Linked DNA regions of Danio rerio. The protein of the gene in region 1 purifies or fractionates together with the protein of each later gene. This does not show direct contact. Links are inferred from orthologs where the notes say so. Each region holds a gene or a part of one and is shown in the gene's direction. Other genes may lie near its edges.

What was found.
Region 2: the proteins of slc38a9 (region 1) and lamtor1 purify together in Homo sapiens (co-immunoprecipitation; 5 studies listed by BioGRID and IntAct, with this or other methods). This does not show direct contact. The link is inferred for Danio rerio from reciprocal best matches to the Homo sapiens genes SLC38A9 and LAMTOR1.
Region 3: the proteins of slc38a9 (region 1) and lamtor4 purify together in Homo sapiens (affinity purification with mass spectrometry; 4 studies listed by BioGRID and IntAct, with this or other methods). This does not show direct contact. The link is inferred for Danio rerio from reciprocal best matches to the Homo sapiens genes SLC38A9 and LAMTOR4.

Annotation. Positions count from the first base shown.
Region 1 is NC_133185.1:7,425,265-7,428,920, forward strand, and holds part of slc38a9 (neutral amino acid transporter 9), read left to right. Parts: intron 1-819; coding exon 820-883; intron 884-974; coding exon 975-1,068; intron 1,069-3,078; coding exon 3,079-3,249; intron 3,250-3,374; coding exon 3,375-3,431; intron 3,432-3,656.
Region 2 is NC_133190.1:46,802,622-46,806,750, reverse strand, and holds the start of lamtor1 (ragulator complex protein LAMTOR1), read left to right. Parts: upstream 1-1,215; 5' UTR 1,216-1,398; coding exon 1,399-1,440; intron 1,441-3,995; coding exon 3,996-4,129. UniProt on the Homo sapiens protein: Key component of the Ragulator complex, a multiprotein complex involved in amino acid sensing and activation of mTORC1, a signaling complex promoting cell growth in response to growth factors, energy levels, and amino acids.
Region 3 is NC_133179.1:20,644,747-20,648,835, forward strand, and holds the start of lamtor4 (ragulator complex protein LAMTOR4), read left to right. Parts: upstream 1-1,175; 5' UTR 1,176-1,235; coding exon 1,236-1,238; intron 1,239-1,388; coding exon of another isoform or gene 1,389-1,424; coding exon 1,425-1,505; intron 1,506-2,849; coding exon 2,850-2,967; intron 2,968-3,564; coding exon 3,565-3,662; 3' UTR 3,663-4,089. Other genes in the region: atp6v1f (V-type proton ATPase subunit F), read right to left, coding at 615-772. UniProt on the Homo sapiens protein: As part of the Ragulator complex it is involved in amino acid sensing and activation of mTORC1, a signaling complex promoting cell growth in response to growth factors, energy levels, and amino acids.

The DNA of each region.
Region 1 (3,656 bases):
TAGTTGTAAAACATATTCTGCATAATATTATTCCTACCCAATACTTAAACCCAATACCTGTTAATAAGCAGCAGATTAGGAGTTTCAGGCAAAAACTGTTAATGCTTTGGTAACAGTGAGAATTTAACCTTTAAAATAAAGTATGACTTAATTTATATACATACATACACACACACACACACACACACACACACACACGCACACACACACACGTTATATGGGCCATTTATATGGATAAAGAAAATTAATAAAAAGTTTTTTTCCTATTGAAAAAACAAAAATTGGATCCAAGATGGCCGACTTCAAAATGGTCACCATGGTCACCATCCATCATGAAAAGTTTGCCCCCTCACATGTACTAATGTGCCACAAACAGGATGTTAATAACAGCAATCATTCCCAGTTTATGTTATTCCTTATTTATATGTGTATCCATATAAATGGCCCACCCTGTATGTATGCGTGTGTGTGTGTGTGTGTGTGTGTGTGTGTGTGTGTGTGTGTGTGTGTGTGTGTGTGTGTGTGTGTGTGTGTGTGTGTGTGTGTGTGTATGTGTATATATTTATATAATTATTTTTTAATCGTTTAACTGATTTCATTTATGGATTCAAAAGGCACCTTTTTGTTTAATGATGAATCTGTTATTATGAGCATCCCTGGGCCACTGCCTCGCCTATATATATATATAATTTTTTTTTCTTCAAAGTGTTACATAATTTTAAATCCTACAAATTATTTAGTCAAGAGAGATTGCATTTGTCATTTCCATGTTAAAGTTATTAAACCTTTGTTTAAATGAGTGCTTGTGTGTGTATACAGCTTTGCCATATGGAACACCATGATGGGAACATCTATATTAAGTATACCATGGGGAATAAAACAAGTAGGTGTATATTTCTCTCCTATATTTCCTTTGGTCATTGCCAGTTATACAATAAAGGTAATTTATTATAATTTATTTGTTCTCTTTCTAGGCTGGTTTTACATTGGGCATTATCATTATTGTTCTTATGGGCCTGTTGACGCTCTATTGCTGCTACAGAGTGTTGAAGTCCACAAAATCAATTCGTAAGCCAATTGCAACCATGCTTGTACATTTTTCGCACAATACATGAGTGATTCAGTGTAGCTCTTAAACACGTTCATTTATAATGTTAACATTCCCAGTTTAGCTGATATTTATTTATTTTTATTTTTTGTTTTGTTTTTTTTGACGGAGATAGTATTGTTTTGTTAGATGAACAGTGTGACCCAGGTTCAAATCCAGTGTTTCTTCTTACTTTTTTTTTTTAAGTCAAACAAATGTCATTTACACATTTCTGTCGTCTTTAGTAAGACCAGCTTATGAGTCGTGAGGGATAAGTCTATATGCCTGCAAGTTCCATCATGGACACAGAACCACATTTAATATTTTTTGTCACAAAGTACAGTGAAAAGCAGCCCATACAGTCACATCTTTTATACGTGTTAAGGAGGAGTGTAAATATTACAGTTATGACAGAGTTAAATGTGTTTAGATGAAGAAAAAAACTTCGAAAAATCACTTGATCACGTTAAAATGACAGGTAATATGTGTGTATGTTTACTAATTTATTCACACATTTGCATTAATCAGAGCAGAAAAGAGACAAGCTGCCCTGTAAGCAGTATCTTAATAAAATTGTTTAATTAAAATAAATGATCAACAAATGAATCTGACGTGACGGTCTCTACAAGTGAATTCCCAATAAGAAAAATACTACAAACTATTCATTAAAGAAACAAAACAAATGCAATTGTCTAATGCAAGCGGGCTGCGTTTCAGACCAGTTCAGCTCAATAGTGTATAATGTCTCCAACATCTCCTGAAGTCCCATTTCACAACTTGATAACAACCGTCTTTTTAAAGAAGCGTCCCGATTTAAAAATAAATAAATAAATAAATCAAGACTGTGATGCAACTGATGTGTTATGTCGTAGAATAAAATGTGAAAGTATCTTAAGTTTGTGTTAGCCACCAACCTCATTTAAGAGATTTTTAATCAAAATCCCATTGAAAAAAAAAAACATCGACTTTGGGACGAGGCAACCAGAACTGCTAGAATGCTAACTCGCTTCCGGATTTTTGCCTACAAATTGACGTCATAGTTCCTCCACTCTATTGTGGTTGTGTATTACTCTTGAGGGGTTTGTTTACCTCTGCAATCCTTTCTACTTTATCTGATTTGATAAGGACATTTCTAAGGCCTCTGAATAATCAACATGATCAAAGGAAAGAAACCGGTTTTAAACCTGTTTAAAGTTTTTTCTATGAAGCTTATGCTTAAAAATAAATGTTAACAGAGTCATCATAATCAATTTTACCAATTCTACTAATGTATCTATAAAGACACAACAAACAATGTCTCTCTCTCTCTCTCTCTCTCTCTATTTTTTTTGTTTTACTTTAACTGTACACACACATTAACATACTGTTAAAACAGATTTATAAGCCTCCCCCCTGTTTATTTTATCCTCAATTTCTGTTTAACGAAGAGATTCCTTCAGCACTTTTCTACACATAATAGTTTTAATAACTCATTTCTTATAACTGATTTATTTTATCTTTGCCATGATGACAGTAAATAATATTTGACTAGATATTTTTCAAGACACTTCTATACAGCTTAAAGTGACATTTAAAGGCTTAACTAGGTTAATTAGGTTAACTAGACAGGTTAGGGTAATTAAGCAAGTTATTTTATAATGATGGTTTGTTCTGTTGACTATCGAAAAAATATATTGCTTAATGGGGCTAATAATATTGACTTTACAATTGTTTTTAAAAAATTTACAGCTGCTTTTATTCTAGCCAAAATAAACCAAATAATACTTTTTTTAGAAGAAAAAAATATTATCAGAAAAATTGTGAAAATGTCTTTGCTCTGTTAAACATAATTTGGGAAATATTTAAAAAAGCAAAAAAATAAAATAAAAAATTCAAAGGGGGCTTATAATTCTGACTTTAACTGTATGTCATTTTTGCTTGTCTTTTTTTCATATGTCATGCCAGAGTTAACATGAAGTTTTTTTTAAATATGAAACTCTGTGTCTTTGCAGCTTATGTAGATACCTCAGACTGGGAGTTTCCTGATGTGTGTAAATATTACTTTGGGGGTTTCGGAAAATGGTCCAGTCTCGTCTTCTCGTTGGTGTCACTGATTGGTGCAATGGTGGTCTACTGGGTGCTCATGTCTAACTTCCTGTTCAATACGGGAAAATTCATTTTCAGTACGTGACTGTTTTTCCTGCCCTTTCTCATTTGTTTTACTGCCAATTAGAATTCTAATATTGTTTTTCTGAATAACCTTTTAATTGTTTTTCTGAATAACCTTTTATATATTTTGCATTTACAGACTATGTTCACAATGTCAACACATCAGATGCATTTGGCACAAATGGAACTGAGAGAGGTGAGCAGTCATTATTATTATTATCATTATTAGTATAAAATAGTCTGAAGTTGTAAGCATAATCATTTACATTACATGGTCAAAGATACTCAACACAATCCAAATGGCTTGATTTATTAATTGCTCTGACTTGAGGCTGATTTATACTTCTGCATCAAGAGCACGTGTATGCTACGGCGTTAATGCATAGCCCTACGCCGTGGCCGTTGGCGTCGCTGACGTGCA
Region 2 (4,129 bases), on another chromosome or scaffold:
TAAGCCTATTTTTTTTTTTTTTTTTAAACGAGAACTAGCTCTTTATTTAAAAAAAAACCCATCACAGACTCTCACAATAAGAAAGCTATTAAAACTTATAAAATATGTGCTTTATTTAATATCCTGCAATAATTTGTTTAATCTTTGTCATGTGCCCTTAATTATTATTATTATTTCTCTCTCTCTCTCTCTCTCTCTCTCTCTCTCTCTCTCTCTCTCTCTCTCTCTCGTTGTCTTTATTTTGATTTACCTATATTATATTTGTTCTAAATTTGTTACATTCCACTTTTTCAAAAAGTAATATTTCTATTGATTGTACCATACTTTCAGTTTTGTATCTGTATTTGTTGTAAAGTACTGTTATTATTGCAAAAAAAAAAAAAAAAAAAAAGCATGATGTTTCTTAAAGGTTTTTCATAAAGGTTTCCTAAAGGTTTTTCATACATATATATATATACATATATATACATATATATACATACATATATATACATACATATATACATTCCATATATACATACATACACACACTAGATATCGCATAGGGACCCTGAGCATGCGTCAATAGCGCCGCCACATTGGTACAGTGCTCCCAGTACAAATGTCATTCAACCGCACTAGTCAAGTCAGTGTTATTACGTGAAGATGCGGGACTTTAGCGAGCAAAACAGAAAACAAAGCACAAAGGCAGAACATTCCATAGGTAATAAAAAGTTTTTTCTGTTTTTGTATGTTCTGAACTTTTGTGCTAATCAGGTAACGTTATTGATGAAAACAGTGACTTACTGCATTCACCATAAGGCAAAGCAGCTCCAACTCGCTCCCGCTCCGTCAGTATGAGAAGTGAAAGCAGGAGAGGAGCTGTGTTTCAGGACATGATTAGATCAAATTTAACAGGGAGGGTGGATAGTACATTTCTGTACACACAAACACAAGCTTTTTGTCAGGAATGTGATGTAAAATTATAATTTTCGTAATTAGAAAAAAAAAATTACATACAACATCCAGGAAAACTCCCGATCATAGATATATGTGTATATCTCTGGCTTTGGATGGCCACAGTCCTCCACTGTACCTTGGTCCTGCATTCATTTCAAAGGAGCGCTACCCTGTAGCAAGATGGCGGCGCTATTGACGCATTCCGTCCAATAGACAACAATAGGCCAGGCGACATCTAATGTATATATCTATGAAGGTTTTTAACGGGTTTTTGGGGCGGAACTGACGTGCCAGTGTGGAGACGGAAGACACGTGACACGATTGGGAGTGCTGTCATGTGATGGTTTCTGCGTTTGCAGCAAATCTCTTCACAGCCAAGAGGCAAACACAACCTCAAAAACGCTCCTGAGACGAATAAAAAACCCAAATTCAGGATACTGAACCCGCTGGGCGGCCATCATGGGGTGCTGTTTCAGCAGCGACAGCGAGACGACGGATCCGGTAACTCAAAACACTAATAATGCAGCTTAATGTAGCGTCTGTAGTCCTGCAACAACATTTACTAACGACACACTTTCAATACAGTTGTGTGTTTGTGATTCAAGAACAGCTCAATACTGAGTGCTTGTCAAAACTACAACAAACTTAATCCACTAACGCTACTTTATTTATGTATATTTGATCATTAACGTGTGTTTGTAATGAACTGAAGCTGGTGTTTCGGTGGAGTTAGTCTTAAATTGGGAGTTTTGTGTTGGATGTGGGTCTAATGTGTCAGATCTGACATGTGCTAATGCTAATGTTTGGGGAAATGTAGTGTTAGGGTTTCCACAATGATGGAAAAGTTAAATATATTAGTGCATTTTAGGCCTGGGAGTTTTTATAACAGTTGTACGAAAATATGGGGAGTATTTATGATTTTATTGAGTGAAAAAGAAAAAAAATTAAGCCAATCGTGAAAAGGTTTATTAAATTAAAATGTGCAAATTTTGTTGGATTTACACTAAAAGTTAGTTTTATGCTGTCCAATGCTGAAAAATAACTTAAAATACCAATAATAATGCAGCTTAATGTAGTGTCTGTAGTCCTGCAACAACATTTACTTACGACACACTTTTAATACAGTTGTGTGTTTGTGATTCAAGAACAGCTCAATACTGAGTGTTTGTCAAAACTACAACAAACTTAATCCACTAACGCTACTTTATTTATGTATATTATATCATAAGCGTGTGTTTGTAATGAACTGAAGCTGGTGTTTCGGTGGAAATAGTCTTAAATTGAGAGTTTTGTGTTGGATTTGGATCTAATGTGTCAGATCTGACATGTGCTAATGCTAATGTTTGGGGAAATGTAGTGTTAGGGTTTCCACAATGATGGAATAGTTAAATATATTAGTGCAGTAATTCTCAAACTTTTTTCATCAAGTACCACCTCAGAAAAGATTGTTCCTCCAAGTACCACCATAATGACCGGTATTGAAATACAGTAGCGTAGTAGGCCCAGTAAAACAGCTGCAGCTCTGCACAGTTTAATAACGTGGTAAAATAACTACTACTATTAAGGATATTTATTATTATAAGCCACTTTAAACATTATAAATAGTAACATTAAGACTGTACTCTGCTTATATGTAAACAAACAAACAAAAAAATTAATGTTAACGTTTAAATTAATGTGCTTTTAAAGGTTTAATAAAAATGGTAGGTTACTGTCCTTAAATAGAAAAAAACTGCTGTACTTAAATGTAAAGTCCTATTTATCAAAACCTGGAAATGTTGCTTGGACCTCATAAATAGGCTATATGTCATCATATTCATATTCAAACCATTTTTGATAAATTTTGAAATATATGTTGCTTGTACGTGACATGTAGGATTCCTCTGCGTACCATTAGAAGGAAGCCTGCGTACCGCTAGTGGTACACGTACCACAGTTTGAGAACCACTGTATTAGTGGATTTTAGGCCTGGGAGTTTTTATAATAGTTGTACGAAAATATGAGGAGTATTTCTGATTTTAGTGAGCTAAAAAAAAAAAATTAATTAAGCCAATCGTGAAAAGGTTTTTAAATTAAAATGTGCAAATTTTGTTGGATTTACACTAAAAGTTAGTTTTATGCTGTCCAATGCTGAAAAATAACTTAAAATACCAATAATAATGCAGCTTAATGTAGCGTCTGTAGTTCTGCAACAACATTTACTTACGACACACTTTTAATACAGTTTAATGCAGTTATGATTTTAGTTGGTTTTAAATAATAAACTGAAGCCAAACGTGAAAATGTTTTAAATTAAAATGTCTAAATATTGTAGGGTTTGCACTAAAAGTTGGTGTTATGCTGTCCAGTACAGACAAATACCCAAAACACTAATAATGCAGCTTAATGTAGCGTCTGTAGTCCTGCAACAACATTTACTTACGACACATTTTTAATACAGTTGTGTGTTTATGATTCAAGAACAGCTCAATGCTGAGTGTTTGTCAAAACTGCGTCAAAATTATTCCAGTTACGCTACTTTTTTTATGTATATTTGATCATCAACGTGTGTTTTTTTAATGAACTAAAGCTGGTGTTTCTGTGGGATTTGTCGTAAATTGTGTTGGATTTGGATCTAATGTGTCAGATCTGACATGTCCTAATGTTAATGTTTGGGGATATGTAGTATTAAGGGTTTTCTCAATGATGGAAAAGTTGAATGTATTAGTGGATTTTCAGGTCTGGGAGTATTTATAACAGTTGTACGAAAGTATGAGGAGTATTTATGATTTATTTTTATATTGGGATATCGCCCACTCTTTTTTTCTATTTTTATTTAATTTAATTATTTTTCCTGGTCATTGCGCCTTTGCTGTGTACTGTGTAAATGCAGACAATCGGATACGAGTCCCTTTTAATTAATGATGTAAGCAGGTCATCAAAAAAATCAGATACAGTCACAAAATCGCAATTGACCATCAAGATCTGCAGCGTGAATGCAGCCTGTTAGCTTACATGAAAATAAAGTGGTCTTTCTGGGTGTTTGAACAGGATGTGTTGATGTTTTGGTCCTGCAGGATGGAGATGAGGTGAAGCCACTGATTCCTGACCCAAACCAAGAAAGAAAACCCACTAATGGCTCAGAGCGAAATGCAGACAATCTGCCGTCCAACCGCACAGACGAACAAGCCCTGCTCACGGTCATCCTGCA
Region 3 (4,089 bases), on another chromosome or scaffold:
AATAAGCAGGCTCTTTTTAGATTCTCGTAAGCTATAAAAATTAAAAATGTAAAACAGAAAATACGTTGGAACATTTGTTTTTGTTTACATTCCTCAAAATGATCTATCGTCAGAATAAGAAGAGATCAGACAAACATGTTCTTATATTTAAATTATTCAAAATTGATCAGTAGTTTGAAGAATAGTGACAAAGGATATTTAAATGACAATTGTCAATAGGGGCTGCACTGTAATTCATAATATTAATAGTTTGATATGTCTTTAATAGTTTCTTGCAAATATGATTGACAGTTTACTGGTGTATATAAAATATTGTTAAACTAAAAGACATTTAAGTGGGTTTCTTGACAAATTTAGGTAATTATTACTACATAAAAATAATTTATATATAAATGTTTTTTCTAAAATATTTGGCTGATATGATAGATAGATAGATAGATAGATAGATAGATAGATAGATAGATAGATAGATAGATAGATAGATAGATAGATAAACATAAATATTTTTTTAAAAAGCAAGTCTTCATCCATATATTTGTAATGACACATATTTGATAATTAGATTGTAATATATGATGTTGAGTCATTCAGACATTTAGGATCGTGTCACTTACTTGAAGGTCTCCTCTATCTCTGTAACGCTGGTTTCCTTCTCCACCACCAAGAAATTGGGTTTACGGTTTTTATTGAGCTCTCCGATCCCTCCGAGGAGAAATCCGGTGCACGTGTCTTCATCACCGATAACTGCGATTAATTTTCCTCGTCCGGGCATCGTGACTTTGTCTTATATTTTGCTCAAATAAAAGACGCAGAATGGACGAAATGTTTTCCGTTCAGCAGGATCATATGCTTTAATCAGCTGACCACTTCACTTCCGCTTTGCGTAGTCGCGTAAGCGCCTTATTTAGCTGATCTGAGATCTGTGCTGCTCGCGTTAACGACCGACCTGTGTGCGGTGATTATGACAGCGAATCTGATCCTGATACAGATTATTTTTTGTTAAATGCGAGAACAGCGCATAAATCCTAGCAAATTAAATAAAAATCCGCCACGTTTTAGTCATACTAAGATTTTTTATCACATTTTGTACGTTTCCAATGCATATAAACAAAAATAATGTCGAATAAGCAAAACATCTCCTGGAATGACGTTATAAACACGCGACGCTTGATGTCAGTCACGTGAGGCGGGGTGTGAAGGAAAACAGCAGTGTACATTTATCTGCACTGTCTAAAATGGTAAATATAATTCTTACCTTTAAAATATTTGTTTAATTAAATGTTTTTTTTATTAAATGTTTTGTTTTAGTGCATTTAGAACTTATAAAACAAAGATTTTGTAAATAATGTGATTGATGATGCAGTCTAATATCATATGAGCTCTGTTAGTGTTTAATTACAGTATTATCGTGTGTTGAATGTCAGACTACTGCTTTGACTCAAGGCTTGGAGAGAATACCCGATCAACTTGGGTACTTGGTTATTAGTGAAGACGGAGTACTCGCGGTAAGCTGTTAAAATTCATAACTTACATTTTCGGAGAACTTGACATGAGGGTGAAATGCGTTGAAAAGAGAATCCTGATTTGGGCAAATGAGAAATAATTAATTAGAATTCAATGTCTGTCAGTCTTATTGTTCTGTCTGTCTCTGTTTGCCTGTCTACACTTTGAGGCAAAATTATTACGCCTCTACTGATACATATTATTTAAAAAAAAATTCCCAAGTTATGATGAACTGAGCAATGACATTTTCACAGTATTTTCTATAATATTTTTATTCTTGAGAAAATTTTTTATTTCTTTTATTTTGTCTGGAATAAAAGCAGTTTTTAAATAAAAAAATAACAATTTTAATAGGTTAATAGGCCCTTAGAACAAAATAATGGTATTCAATGACTTGCCTAGTTAAACTTATTAACCAAGTTAAGCCTTTAAGTTACTCATTAAGATGAATTCTAATATCTTGTAAAATAACTAGCAAAATATTATGCAGTGTTATCATGGCAAAGACAGATTCTGTTAAAAAATATATATATTACAACTATTATTTTTAAAAATGTGTTGAGAAATCTTCTTCCTTTTGAACAGCCTTCATGAAAATAAATTAAAAAAGGAAAATATTTATTTATTGCCAATAATTGTGCCTTTAACTGTATCTATCTATCTGTCTGTCTGTCTGTCTGTCTGTCTGTTGGACACACCTGGCTCAAGGGGTTATCTCTCTCTCTGTCTCTTTCTATATATTCGATAGGTTCTATGTTTTAATCATATAATCAATTTATCATTTACAGTTGAGTCAGAATTATTAGCCTTGCTGTTTAATTTTAAATCTTTTATATTTTTCCCCAATTTCTGTTTTACAGAGAGATTTTTTTTCAACACTTTTCTAAACATAATAGATTGAATAACTAATGAATTTCTTTTATCTTCGCCATGATGACAGTACATACTATTTTACTACATATTTTTCAGGATAATAGTATTCAGCTTCAAGTTCAATTTAAAGGCTTAATTGGGTTAATTAGGTTAAGGAAGATACTTAGTTTAATTAGTAATTTAATTAACAATAATTTGTTCTGTAGACAAGTTAAAAAAATATATTGCTTGGGGGGGGGGGGGTAATAATAATTGAGTTAAAATGGTATGAAAAGCTGCTTTTATTCTGGCCAAAATAAAACAAATAAGACTTTCTCCAGAGGAAACAATATTATATGAAATAATGTGAAAATGTCCTTGCTCTATTAAACATAATTTGGGAAATATTTAAAAAAGAAAATATCATAGGGGGATTAATAATGACTCCACTTGTCTCAGTTAAGCAGTAAGTGAATGTTTTTTGTAATCTACAGTCGGCAGGAGAGCTGGAGAATGACGAGCACACAGCAGGAGTGATCATGCAGATGGTCCGAACAGCTTGTCGCTTCAGATTACATGGGACTGCAGAGCCCCCATTCAAGCGCATGTCTGGTAAGAAACGCACTTCATTTTTAGATAAATGCTGAATGATGATAGAACAATATTTCACTCATATTTTGTCATTTAATTTTCAAAAAATGTGATGTGAATTATTAAAGTAAACATGCTTGTGTAACATCAGGTTTATGTAATATTCAGATATCACTGTAGTATTAGTGTTTATTTGTAACATTAGGTTTAAGTATTATCCAGATATTTTTACAGTTTGAAATAGTTTTTATCTTTACATTTTGTGTTTTTTCTATTTAAAGTTTAAGCAATTTTGTTATGTATTTCTATCAGTTGTGTTTTTAAATAGGTCTGTTTAAAAAAAAAAAGGTTTTATTAGTTTTTATGGTTTCATGTGTAACCATTTTAAGTCTTTTTTTATCCTCTTGATTTTGTTTAGGAACAAAATAGCCCTAATAAAATAAAATAACCCTCTTTAATTTGTTGTTTTAATTAAATTTATTCAATAAGAAATAATTGATATATGATCATTTACTATTTTACAGTAAATCATTTTTACTTGCTGTGAAAATCCATAACTTCCAAACAAATACTGATATTAATGTATATTTTTTTCTTTCCTTTTTTGTCTGATGTCAGTGATGTTTGAAGACTACGTCTATGCTGTGACCATCTCCGGACAGAAGGTTTTCGTAGTGAAAAGGCAGAACAACCAGCGGGAGCCTGTTATCGTGTAGTAAAGAGGATAATATGGACTGATCTTTCCCACTATTACAAGCTCAAAATGGTGCCCTCACATAAAAATGACCCCGTCTTTACAACCACCCGATGTTTAGCACAATCACACTCTCTTTCTTTCTTAAGGTGAAATTTTGCAATGTTTTGGGGGCCTTTTGGTGATGTCAGGTGTATTTGACCTGAGCCAAAGTAAGTTCATGTGTTTCTCTTATTAGATTATGATGTTACATGGTTCATCTGATTTCTTTTTTTTGGATACAGGATTAAATTGTTTTTATATTTTAGTCCCTTTCATACTTGAGTGGTCACAATTATAGTATTGCTGGACATCATTATAGATTTGCATTAACATTTAACTCCAATAATCCATTAAGCTATAGATTAAAGGATTCATTGCATCATATTTTATGCAGAAATGATGTATTA